Xenopus tropicalis: one gene and its partners. The protein of the gene in region 2 interacts with the protein of the main gene of each other region in a pairwise test. Links are inferred from orthologs where the notes say so. Each region holds a gene or a part of one and is shown on either strand. Other genes may lie near its edges.

The links. The genes of interacting proteins can lie anywhere in the genome.
Region 1: the proteins of ubxn11 (region 2) and rhobtb3 interact in binary tests that used the Homo sapiens proteins (3 or more experiments, as listed by UniProt). The two-hybrid records come from large-scale screens. The link is inferred for Xenopus tropicalis from reciprocal best matches to the Homo sapiens genes UBXN11 and RHOBTB3.
Region 3: the proteins of ubxn11 (region 2) and eukaryotic translation initiation factor 4E type 2 interact in binary tests that used the Homo sapiens proteins (3 or more experiments, as listed by UniProt). The two-hybrid records come from large-scale screens. The link is inferred for Xenopus tropicalis from reciprocal best matches to the Homo sapiens genes UBXN11 and EIF4E2.

Annotation. Positions count from the first base shown.
Region 1 is NC_030677.2:177,118,650-177,122,303, reverse strand, and holds part of rhobtb3 (rho-related BTB domain-containing protein 3), read left to right. Parts: intron 1-3,014; coding exon 3,015-3,123; intron 3,124-3,654. UniProt on the Homo sapiens protein: Rab9-regulated ATPase required for endosome to Golgi transport. Involved in transport vesicle docking at the Golgi complex, possibly by participating in release M6PRBP1/TIP47 from vesicles to permit their efficient docking and fusion at the Golgi.
Region 2 is NC_030678.2:77,353,584-77,357,337, reverse strand, and holds the end of ubxn11 (UBX domain-containing protein 11), read left to right. Parts: coding exon 1-33; intron 34-112; coding exon 113-200; intron 201-1,068; coding exon 1,069-1,286; intron 1,287-1,368; coding exon 1,369-1,446; intron 1,447-1,521; coding exon 1,522-1,636; intron 1,637-1,715; coding exon 1,716-1,819; intron 1,820-1,893; coding exon 1,894-1,961; intron 1,962-2,938; coding exon 2,939-3,064; intron 3,065-3,147; coding exon 3,148-3,304; 3' UTR 3,305-3,485; downstream 3,486-3,754. UniProt on the Homo sapiens protein: May be involved in the reorganization of actin cytoskeleton mediated by RND1, RND2 and RND3. Promotes RHOA activation mediated by GNA12 and GNA13.
Region 3 is NC_030681.2:101,897,792-101,901,445, reverse strand, and holds part of eukaryotic translation initiation factor 4E type 2, read left to right. Parts: coding exon 1-12; intron 13-939; coding exon 940-1,076; intron 1,077-3,326; coding exon 3,327-3,366; coding exon of another isoform or gene 3,367-3,410; 3' UTR 3,411-3,654. UniProt on the Homo sapiens protein: Recognizes and binds the 7-methylguanosine-containing mRNA cap during an early step in the initiation. Acts as a repressor of translation initiation.

The sequences.
Region 1 (3,654 bases), on a different chromosome or scaffold from region 2:
AGAGTTCCTGCAAATTGGTGATATAGGGAATTACTCAGTATTAATCTATCACTTACTGACTGAGCTGTATTTTGTATAAACGTGTTTACGTAGGTCTCCCATTTTTTGTCAGTCTGGCCGTCATCAGAAGCATGTGGAGGGGTTAGTGTTCCTGTAAGACTTACTTTGTGTCCTAGATACCCCAGCGCTCCAGCCACTCTGCCATCATGCATGGGTGTCATGGGTGTCACGCCTATTTTAGGTTTCTAGACATTCCATCCTTGCTTGGTTATTGAGTTGGTTTCCTTCTTTTATACTGGCTGTTATTTTTATGATCCTTTCTGGTTTTTACTCCTGCCTGTTTTGACTCTGTTTGCTGCTTGAGCTTCTGCCTGATTTTCTACCCTCAATCCTGTTCTGCCTGCCCTGACGTTTGGCCTGGTACTAGTACCTAGTACTATTCTAGACTTTACCAGCCTCTCTCCATCCACTGGCATTGTTGGACTGGCCCACTAGAGTATTGGGAAAATCCCAGTGGGCACCAACCTGTTGGGCCCTTCCAGCTGCCCACAAGCCTGTCACTGCCACTCCCTGCTCTGCTATGCTGCTTGCTTTGCTGTGAAATATAAAAAATGACTGCGCATTCCACCGTGAAAAGCATGGCCATCTTTAATTTGTAACAGCAAAGTAAGTAGTGCTGAAGTGGTGGGGGAGAGTGGGGATAGAGAAAAGAGGTGGCTGGGTGGTGGGCACTTTGGTGATAGGGACTGTGGCTCATTTTCTATGGCCGCTCTTCCTCTACTTTAGTAGGGCCAACTGCATCCTGAAAAATGCAATGCATGTAAAAATTTAATTTGTGGTTCAAAGCTCAACTGTCTTTAGATCCTGTTTTGCTTCATTTATATTAAAGCCCTCTTTATGTGTGGTTTTACGCAGGAGCTACTAAACCTCTTTCTATTGCCTACTTGCCCACTTCCCTGCATCCATTCCTATCTTGCTCAGACTCCTAGTCCACAACCTTCTTTCAATCTCTCTTGTATCATTTCCTCTTTACTACAGTAGATTCTTAAAAAGTGATCATTCTTGTTTATAATTTTTCATATTAAGGATTCATCGCCGTCTCCAGTTTTTGTATAATCTTGAAATTTTAAGAGCATTTTTCCCCCAAAATGTGTCTTTATCCTTCTTTAGCTTTCTGCTCTGTTGATCTCCTCATTAATTCACAACTCTCCAGATGTTTGCAGCAAAGCCATTTTATAATTTTATCATACCTAACTAGTTTCTATAGTACTGTATCTGGCATTTGACTATGATCTTTACCTATGTGCTACCTCTGTAAATGTATATGCTTATATACTATTCCCGTACTGTATATATTCTCCAATTTTACAAAAAATCTATGCCTGGTCTTAGTATCTTAAAGAAAGGAAACAAAACCCAACCATATAAAAAAGAGCACGCAGACCTTGCTTAATTTACAACAAAGGTTCAAACTGGACAAGTAACCCATCCTTAACCCCAACCTGCCCATCCCCTAACTCAGTGCTGTCCAACTTCTACGGTGCCGAGGGCCGGAATTTCTCTAGCATACATGGTGGAGGGCCACTAATGGAAGCCAGTTTTGACCACTCCCCTTTTTGAAACCACACCCACTTCAAACCACACCTATTTTATCACAATGGTGGTAGCACAGCAAAATCCCAAATGCTTGGTCCTTACTGTGGGGATATCAACCATCATTCATATGTGAAAGAATTATGTCATATTAAGATATACCCTTAAATTCCATATGCCTCCTCCTCCCCTGTGGATAGCACAGCAACCCCCAGTACATAATTACACACCTTAGGGACCATTTAATGGCTATTTCCAACTGCTAACAAACTCCCACAACAAACCCCTGCCAGGTTCACCTCCCACAAGCAGCATAGGGCAAGCAGAGTATGGCACACAAAGGCAGCATTCTGCCTGCCCTATGCTGTCTGTGTGTGCCATACTCTGCCTGTCCTACCCTGCCTGTGTGTGCCATACTCTGCCTTCCCTATGCTGCTTCTGTGTGCCATACTTTGCCTGCCCTACCCTGCCTGTGTGTGCCATACTCTGCCTGCCCTACCCTGACTGTGTGTGCCATACTCTGCCTGCCCTACCCTTCCTGTGTGTGCCATACCCTCCCTGACCTATGCTGCCTGTGTGTGCCATTCTCTACCTGCCCTATGCTGGCTGTATGTGCCATACTCTGCCTACATTACCTATGTCTGAGGTGTGAAGAAGTGAACAATGGGAGTGATTACAGTCTGAGCCTGAGGTGTGAACACTGCAGGGGGTGAACAATGCAGGTATTAAAAGGTGTGAAAAACACAGGGGATTACATTTTTAAACAATACAGAGGGATTACAGCCTGAATCTGAGGTGAGAACCATGCAGGGGGCCAGTTAATCTCAGTACTGATACCATTTAATGCTTACTCAAGGTAAAACATCAAAGCAGCCAGACAGGTGGGGGGCCACACAGGGGGGGGGGCGCATGCGGCCCGCGGGCCGCCAGTTGGACAGCACTGCCCTAACTAATGTGTTATTCAGACATTTGTGTGTTCCCTTGTAGGTTACACTGCAGTTTATGGATTACAATTACAAAGAAGATCTAAGCAGTTATATAAGAATACCCTAGACACAAGTACTTATTGAATGAGGCCTAAGTGGCTCCTAATGCTCTAGCCCCCTAGCAGAGTTCACAGCTTGGCTTCAACAGAGCAAACTCTGACTGTTTTTCTGTTAATGGAGTTTTTTTTAATGTACCTATTCATTAGCAATTGAGTACCTGACTAGAGAGAGTAATTAGTAATTTTTGGCAAGTTTTTAAGTTATTAGCAACATTGCAAATAACAGGCCAGCCCTTGCGATGCTCTTTTATGCCAGCTGTACTATCCGTCAGCTGCTGGAGTGATAGAAACGTTACCTGCAAAAACGTTTGTTACTTAGCTTGGTTAAACACATATCCTTATCTAACGCATAGCCTTTATCTATTTTATTTTCTAGTTAGAATACTTCATAATTCAAACTCTGAACACAAAGACTTCTGCAAAATGCAAAAAAAAGAAGAATAATCAGGTCCTTAAAGTTAAACCCCCTAATCTTGAACAGCCAGGTAAGTTCACTCCATCAGGTTATCCTATTTCTCCCTATATGTGAACAAGACTGCCATGAGAAATCACAGGGCTGTGTACAAGATAATGATTCGGACCCCCTCCCAAGAGCTAGAAACCAAAACACAAAGTAGTAGCATTACTGACATATTGTACTCCGAAAGAACATGCTGCCCCAGCCCTGTGGAAGTGACAAGTAACTGTAGGAACAGCATATGTGGAGTTAGGGAGTATGTGGGGTAGGAACATAATGGAATATGTGTGGGTAGGGGAAAAGGGCTCGCACATGCTCTCCCCTACAGTGACTCTTTCATGCATTCCACCATAAGTAACACATCTGTTAACTGATGCAGTCCCCTTGCAGTAGAATTTATGAAAGAGTCACTGTAGGGGAACGGACATGGCAGATACATGACAGTCACATAGCAATCGCCAATGATGTCACCAAATGGGTCCTGGCTGCTTTCTTCACAGGGTTATGTGAGTATATTGTAGGTGGCCTCTGACCACTATTGGTACTTGGGGCTACCTCA
Region 2 (3,754 bases):
AAGGAACTAAATAAAAAAATCTCTGAGATGGAGGTGAGTGTGTATGGTGTGCCATATTTTTTCTAATAGCTATGTAATAAGTGAGACCCAGAAATGTTTTGTTCCTCCCTAGCGTTTCCTTGGTGATTATGGACTGGTCTGGGTTGGGGAAAACAATGCAGATGTCTCACCTGAATCCACTGCCAGAACATGGAGCCCAGGTAATTGTAGATTATAACATTGCCACTGTAAACAATCTCCTTGGAAGCAGCGGTTCATAGCAGGCTATGAGAAGCTTCTATCTGTTATTCGGATATCACTGGAGTATGGAGTAGGGTCAGCCCTGAAAACTTCTGTTTAAACAGTGTAAATTCAGTGTATTAAGGGCTAAACTACATGGGAAGTAGTTTTCTAATGCTACAGTATCATTGATCAGATAAGTAGACAAGCCTGTACTCAGCGTTGCCAGGCAAATAGAACTCCTAATGGTTATTAATGCTAAGGTAATTAGAGCCAGGGACCTTAAATAATGAAGAAGTGAAATGTTTGCATACACCACAATTACTATTTTCTTTAATCCTAGGTTCTAGTATTTGAAATAAATGTCACTAGGCATTAACTTTTCCATATTATTGAAAAACCATGTTATAACACACCGATTGACAATAACTAAAAATATTGCTTCTCTGTATATTTACTAGGGATGCACCAAACCTATATTTCAGTTCCTTGGGTACGAATTTGGCTAAATACCGAACCAAGCCCAGAGCAGAAGCAGAAAATGCAGGGGAAGGCATGCTGCAAATATTTTTCAATACTTAGGGCTCAGATTCAGCTAGGCGGTTGGATTCGGCCATGTCATGCTAAAAATGGCTCCGATTTAGCTGAATCCCAAACTAAATCTGGGATTCGGCCCATCTCTAATATTTTTTACATGCTTTAAGTAGGAGTTCCACCTATTGTCAGGAATCAGTCCCTATAGCTTTAGCACTAGTGGTGTTTTCACTTTACACTTTTATTAAATAAATGGGTAATATGAGACTTTTAAAAATAGTTGTATTTATAGTAATATTTTTTTAATCTCCATAGGACCTTCTTCACCTACTTCTTTCCTACCAGACTTTGATCTAGTCCTGGAAAATTTAAGAGATTTGAATGTACTTGGAGGTGAGGGAGAATCGCATATTGAGTATCAAAAGGGAGGGGCCCGTTTGAGAGCACCCGAGTCTGTCCCATTGACTTTGTATAAAAACGGGATTATTATGTTCCAAGGGCCCTTTCGATCCTACAAGGAAAAATCCACACAGGTGAGGAAAACAGAAACAGTGGTATGTCAGATGGGAAAGAAGTTATTTTCCCTGAAATAATTTGTCCTTCATTGTGTTACAGCTATGTATAAGAGATATCATGGATGGCTATTTTCCCTCTGAACTGCAGGCCCGGTTTCCTAATGGAGTCACATTTCAGGTAAGAGAATTGCTGAAGAATACAGTCTACGCATGTAGGTGAAAAGGACTCTTGAAAAGTATCTTTGCCTTGCAGGTTACAGACAACCGCAATGTAATTTTCCAAGAGCAGCGGCGATGGGATGATTTTCCTGGTTCTGGTCAGACTATTGGGAGCTCAGGAAGTAATTTACAAACTAACAAAAAACCAGGTAAGGGCTCTCTTTAAAAATAAGGCAAGCCCTTAAGGGTTTATAGAACATTTTCATTGTAAATTCTGCCCACCAACAGGACCACAGCTTTCCACTGACCAGTTCTTGAATAGACTGCCTAAATCTGTAATTCGTGGGGGTAGAATTGTGCATGTACGAAGTGCTGTAAGAGAAGCTCTGCAGGTTTGTACATGACCATGGGAACGGAGGGTTTGGTGGAGCATCTTCAGACAGTTAGCTCTTGTTGTTTTTCTAAGGGGTCAGAAGAAAATGAGATGCCAAAAGAAATCTTAGTGGAATCTCCACAGCTATCAAAAGAGCAGAGGTACGGATAGTAAAATGTATTCCATAGGGTTAAAGGGGGGTAGTCATTACATAATATCTTTGCTGTTTTTGTTTTTAATATTTTTTTTATTAAATATAGTGTTTTCCTTTGTCTCATAAATCCAGTTGTCACAGTTATATTTATTCAAAGTCCAGCGTTTTTTATTGATGTCCTTCAGTTAAGCTTTCTTTCTCAAGCCAAGAATAAAACAGCTTTATTATTATTATTATTAATGTATTTTCACAAAAAGGTGTGTTGCTGTACATGGGCCCATAAAAGTTATCCCCATCAGCCCTAAGACTTTGGGTAGCCACATGGGGCTCCATCCTTTCTATAATGGCACAATTGTAAACAATGTAAAGAACACTGTTGGAATGTTGCTTTTGGCGAGTTTTAAAGGAATAGTTTAGTGTAAAAATGAAACTGGGTAAAATAGATAAACTGTGCAAAATAAAATAATAGTTTCAATATAGTTAGTTAGCCAAAGGTGAAATCTATAAAGGCTGGAGTGGGCAGATGTCTAACATAACAGCCAGAACTCTACTTCCTCCTTTACAGCTCTCTAAGCTATTATCAGTCAGTAGCCAATCAGTGATTTTGGGGGGGGGGGGGGGGGGCACATGGGACACAACTATTCAGTTAGTTTGTGAGTGCACAGGTCAGATTCAAAAGCAAACTAACTGAACAGTTATGTCCCATGTGGCCTCCCTAAAGTCACTGACTAACTAAGAGCTGAAAGCAGGAAATAGTGTTCTGGCTATTATGTTAGACATCTGCTCAATCCTGCCATTATAGATTATATTTTTCCATAACTATGTTAATATTATTTTTTATTTTGCGCAGTCTATTTTACCCAGTTTAATTTTTACACTGAACTGTTCCTTTAAGACAGTGTTGCCATCTCTCTCTCTCTCCTGATGTAGGATCACAACTATACAACAAGATTTAAAGAATATAAATATTTGTATTTGTTTTAGCACACAAGACAACATGGTAGTGTCAACTTTAAGGATCAGGTCTGAGTCTGGTGATAAAACATATAAAGTGCGAATGTTGTCTTCAGAAACCCTTGCCGACTTGCGAAATTACTTGTCCTCGTGCCGGTATGTGTTTTTTGTTTTTTTAAAATCCTATAACATATTTAGTCTGTTTATTTCTCATTCCTTATTATATATTTTGTAAGCAGGGCACCTGATCTCTCCTCCTACAACATTATCACCCCTTTCCCTTACTGTGTGTATGAAGATGATACATGTACCTTGGAAGAGGTTGGCCTCGTCCCCAATGCTTTTCTAGTTCTCAGAGCAAGAAGTGAGGAGGAACAAAAAAAGCAATCAGTCTGAGGAAAAAAGAAAGAATTTCATTTATGAATCTAAAGAACAGAAGAAACAAAGGGGCGGTGATCTTTTATCTCTTCCTGATGACTGTTCAACTTGAACTTTACAACATGCACTTTTATATGGTATAATTCTACAACTATACATGACCATAAAGGAACAATAAACTAATACTAACAGTTCTTTATCAGTATGCAGATTAAATTATGTTCTACTGTGAGTAAAACTTGATAGCTGGGAGGCAGATTTTGCCACTGAAAAGTCACCTGTTAGAAAATACATCTGCTAAAGCTATCCCATATAGTTGGGAGGTCATTTTTAACACTATTAACACAAGAAACATTCTTAACACAACAAGAAACATTCCCCTAAGTGTTGTACTCCATACAAATTTGCCATAACATCTTATAATTCCCACTAATTGCAGTAACGATGAATCTAGTCATTTGTTTATGC
Region 3 (3,654 bases), on a different chromosome or scaffold from region 2:
GTGCGTTTTCAGGTGAGATTCACCAAAGTGTGCTTCAAAGTGTAAGTAAATTACAAACTTCACCAGATTTCAAACACCCTACAGAGGTACGCCCACAGACCATCTGTTTGTGCATGTACTTATGGATGTCTAATATAAATAATCTTCAATTCTATGTTATAGATAGGCGGAACAAATACATCAACATAATCATTCAAGCAAGGGCAGATTATTATTAAGATTATCAATATGACTGTGGCCTACTTAAGGCCTGTGCCCAGTTTCACTCTCACATTTACCAGGTATCAGTCCTTAACTGGAAAGAAGAGAAATACATTTAGGAATTTCAATTAAAGGGGATGTTTATCTTTTTGCAAAGTCCTAACAGAGTGGTCAAGCTTTTCAAAAAAAAAAAAAAAACTGTACGCACTATAATTGTTTTTTGTTTTTTTTTAAAGTGATACAAAAGCCTATATATTGTATGAATGCTTCAAATATCTGCTTATTTGGATTCTGTCCATTCTCTGGTACTTAATTTAACACTGTTAGCCAACCAGATCAATGTGCAAAGGAATGACCATGGCCAGGCATGTACAATAGCACTAAATCCCTCTCTAGCTGAACTGGTGCACTTTGTCCCCTCCTGCTGCCAGTCTCTCCATCTGCACCAAACCTGAATTGTGTAATAAAAGTCATGGAAACACCACAGCAGTTTTTATCTCTAATAAAAACAAATTCACCTTAACTTTAACCTAGCCAGTAAGTTTGAGTTAGTAAAAATGTAGTCATTTGTAAGTATCAAGACTTTATGGTAGTATCTTACCAACTCTGTTCATTTTACCCATGCTTACAGTTAAAACACATTCGATCTAGACTAAGAGTTTTAATTCTTAATATGTTTGTGATTCAGGGATATGGTTATTAAGTAAAAAGAAATCGTTTTCTATATTGAATGCACAGGAAGACATCATATCTATTTGGAACAAAACTGCAAGTGATCAGGCAACCACTGCTCGTATTCGAGACACATTGCGGCGAGTCCTGAATTTGCCTCCCAACACTGTTATGGAATACAAAACGCACACAGACAGCATCAAGTATGTAGTTCTCAGCTTGTAAATCATGATGAAAAAATACATTTCAATTTTGATGGGCTAAACTATACTAAGGAATGCATTAAGAATAACTGTAGCTTATTGCTTCCCAAATTTACATATATGGGAAATTCAGTTTGTTTCAAGGGCCAGATTATATTAAAAATTACACAGGGAACTTTATGAAACTCTTTGAGGGCCACGTCCAACTCAAGAGGCTTCGGCTGGACTGCTTGGTATAGCTTCCTTCTTCAGCATAGGAGAAAGGCTCAGAACTGGATTGCTCAAAATTGTAAAATGTTAAATAATGTTAAAATAATCAAAAAATTTAAACTCTCAAGAAAAAGATACATGGTATGAAAGTTTGCATACAAAGTAAAGCTTGTCAATTCATTTACAACCTAATTGTATGTTTACATTGTTTCAGCAATCCATTGTTACTAGTTAGAGTAGTTTAGAATTATCAGCTGTTTATTGTTCCCTGTTCATTTTTAAAACTGCCATTATTCTTGATCAGTCAGATTCATCATACAAAGATTTAAAAGTTGCTTATATGTTTTTGGTCCCAGGTGCTGGCATATAATAAAAATTTGTCCTTATTTTATGTCACTTTTAACCAGTCATCAGAATAAAGTTCAAAGACATCCAGTTCCAGGATAAGTCATAACCGATAAAGAAAGTCTGACCAGTCAGCCACGCAGGATAGAGTACTCTGCTCAGTGGGAAATTAGGGTTGCCAGTTTCATGTCATGCAGAACAACCCATGTTGCAAAAAGCGTTTCTTCTGTACAACAGTACCTCTTTTAGAGGTTACTATAAATATAGATACCCCCACCTGAATATGGTATCCCTATCCAGCTGCACTAGAAAAACTGTTTTTTTGCATATTATGTGTTTAATCATTGTTAATGCTGAGGTCTGAGGTCTTTAGCCTGAGGTCTTGCAGCGGATCCTGATAGGCTACAAACTTAGGTTACTAAAAGAGAGGTTACAGATGCTTGCTTATGAAGGTCAGTTCTTAGGATAATGACAAATGGTGCATTTTGCTTCCCGCACCATTTCTAGCTTAGGTCGGTACACCCATTCAGGTTATCATCACTCAGAATGTGACATTGCTCATTTGCAAATTAATCACATGCCTAGTGGGCTACCAATGAGCTTGAAGTAGCTTGTGTGGCAAAACTCTGTGCGCTATTACCACTAGAGTGCTCTGTAGCTGTCCTACCAATACCTTTGAGGTATATAGCTAAAACTTGGGTTGCTCAGATCCCAGGGTAGGGATTCACACAGTGGGCTACACTAAAACACACATGGCATCTTTAAGATGGGAAAGGGCAAGGAGCCTTAAACAGTTTCCAAATCATTGAACAACACAAGGTTGACGTTTCCTCTACTGGCACTGGAGGGAAAAGTAATTCTTCATTTGTGTAATCTTTGGACCAAATGTAAAATTAATTAGTTAAAGGAGAACTGCAGCCATGCTAAAACCATAGGCACCCTCCAGAGGACAGCCTCCTCACTCCTGATCTGCACTACAGGATAGTCCCATTACAGTTTTGTTTGCTGTACTTGGTTATAAAAAGCAGAGGGGTTGGCGAGTGGCATCTTACGCCGTGTGATATTTTCTTCTCAGCAATCACTGAAGAAGAACATGCTCCTGGTGTGATCAGCAGCCCCACTGCACTACTTTTTTTATTTGTTTTGTATTTCTCTCTTGACTCAAGAGAGGTGGCTGTTGGACTGTAAACGAAAGAAATCCTTAGCCTTCAGTGCATTCTCCAGCTATAGTTTAGCAAGCCGTTACTTCTAATAAATGTCTATCAGTCCCAGTTAGTCTTATTTTTTAGATTAAAGTAAAGTAAAGTGCTATTTTTTTTTTTTCTTGTTTTTTGTTCTTATTTCTGGTTGCCCAGGGCCTGGGAAGAATTTCACGGCCTGGTGAACAACAGCGGCCGCTGAATGATTTCTCCCCCTCTCCCTGCATCCCACACCCAGCGGTAGGGCCTTTTTTAAAAACAATTCTTCCAAATAGTCACACATATGAAATGAGTGTTCCATTTTTTTGAAAGTATTTCCAGAAATGATCATTTTATGTGTGTTTGAATGTTTGCTTACAGCAAATAAAGTGGAGATGTATCCATGCACTGCCCCCTTAGCTATGCCAGGCCCACATTAGAGAGTTATTGAACAAAGCAGCATACTATGGTTTGTTTGCCATGTGCATGAGTTAATGGCTGTTTTTTTTATTTGCAGGGACAAAACAAGCTTCAGAAATACCAAAATTGCTTTGTGAACACAAGGATCTACTCCTGCTTTGCTGACCTGCTTTCAGTTTGAGTATTCTCAGTTTTAAGCACCACCATGTAGCTTTATGGCCGGTGGCCCAACGGTTCTTGGGAAAAATTCTATACAGCTTCAAATCTAGCTGGGATTGGGTCGAACTGTCTTTTTGTTGTTTTTGTTTTTTTTTAAGCCTGTTATCTACATCAATCCTCTTTCCAAGACCTATCCACTACAGCTGCATCCCTCACGGGAGGAAAAAGCATTGTACATTATTTTTGGAATCTGTTTTATTTCTTGG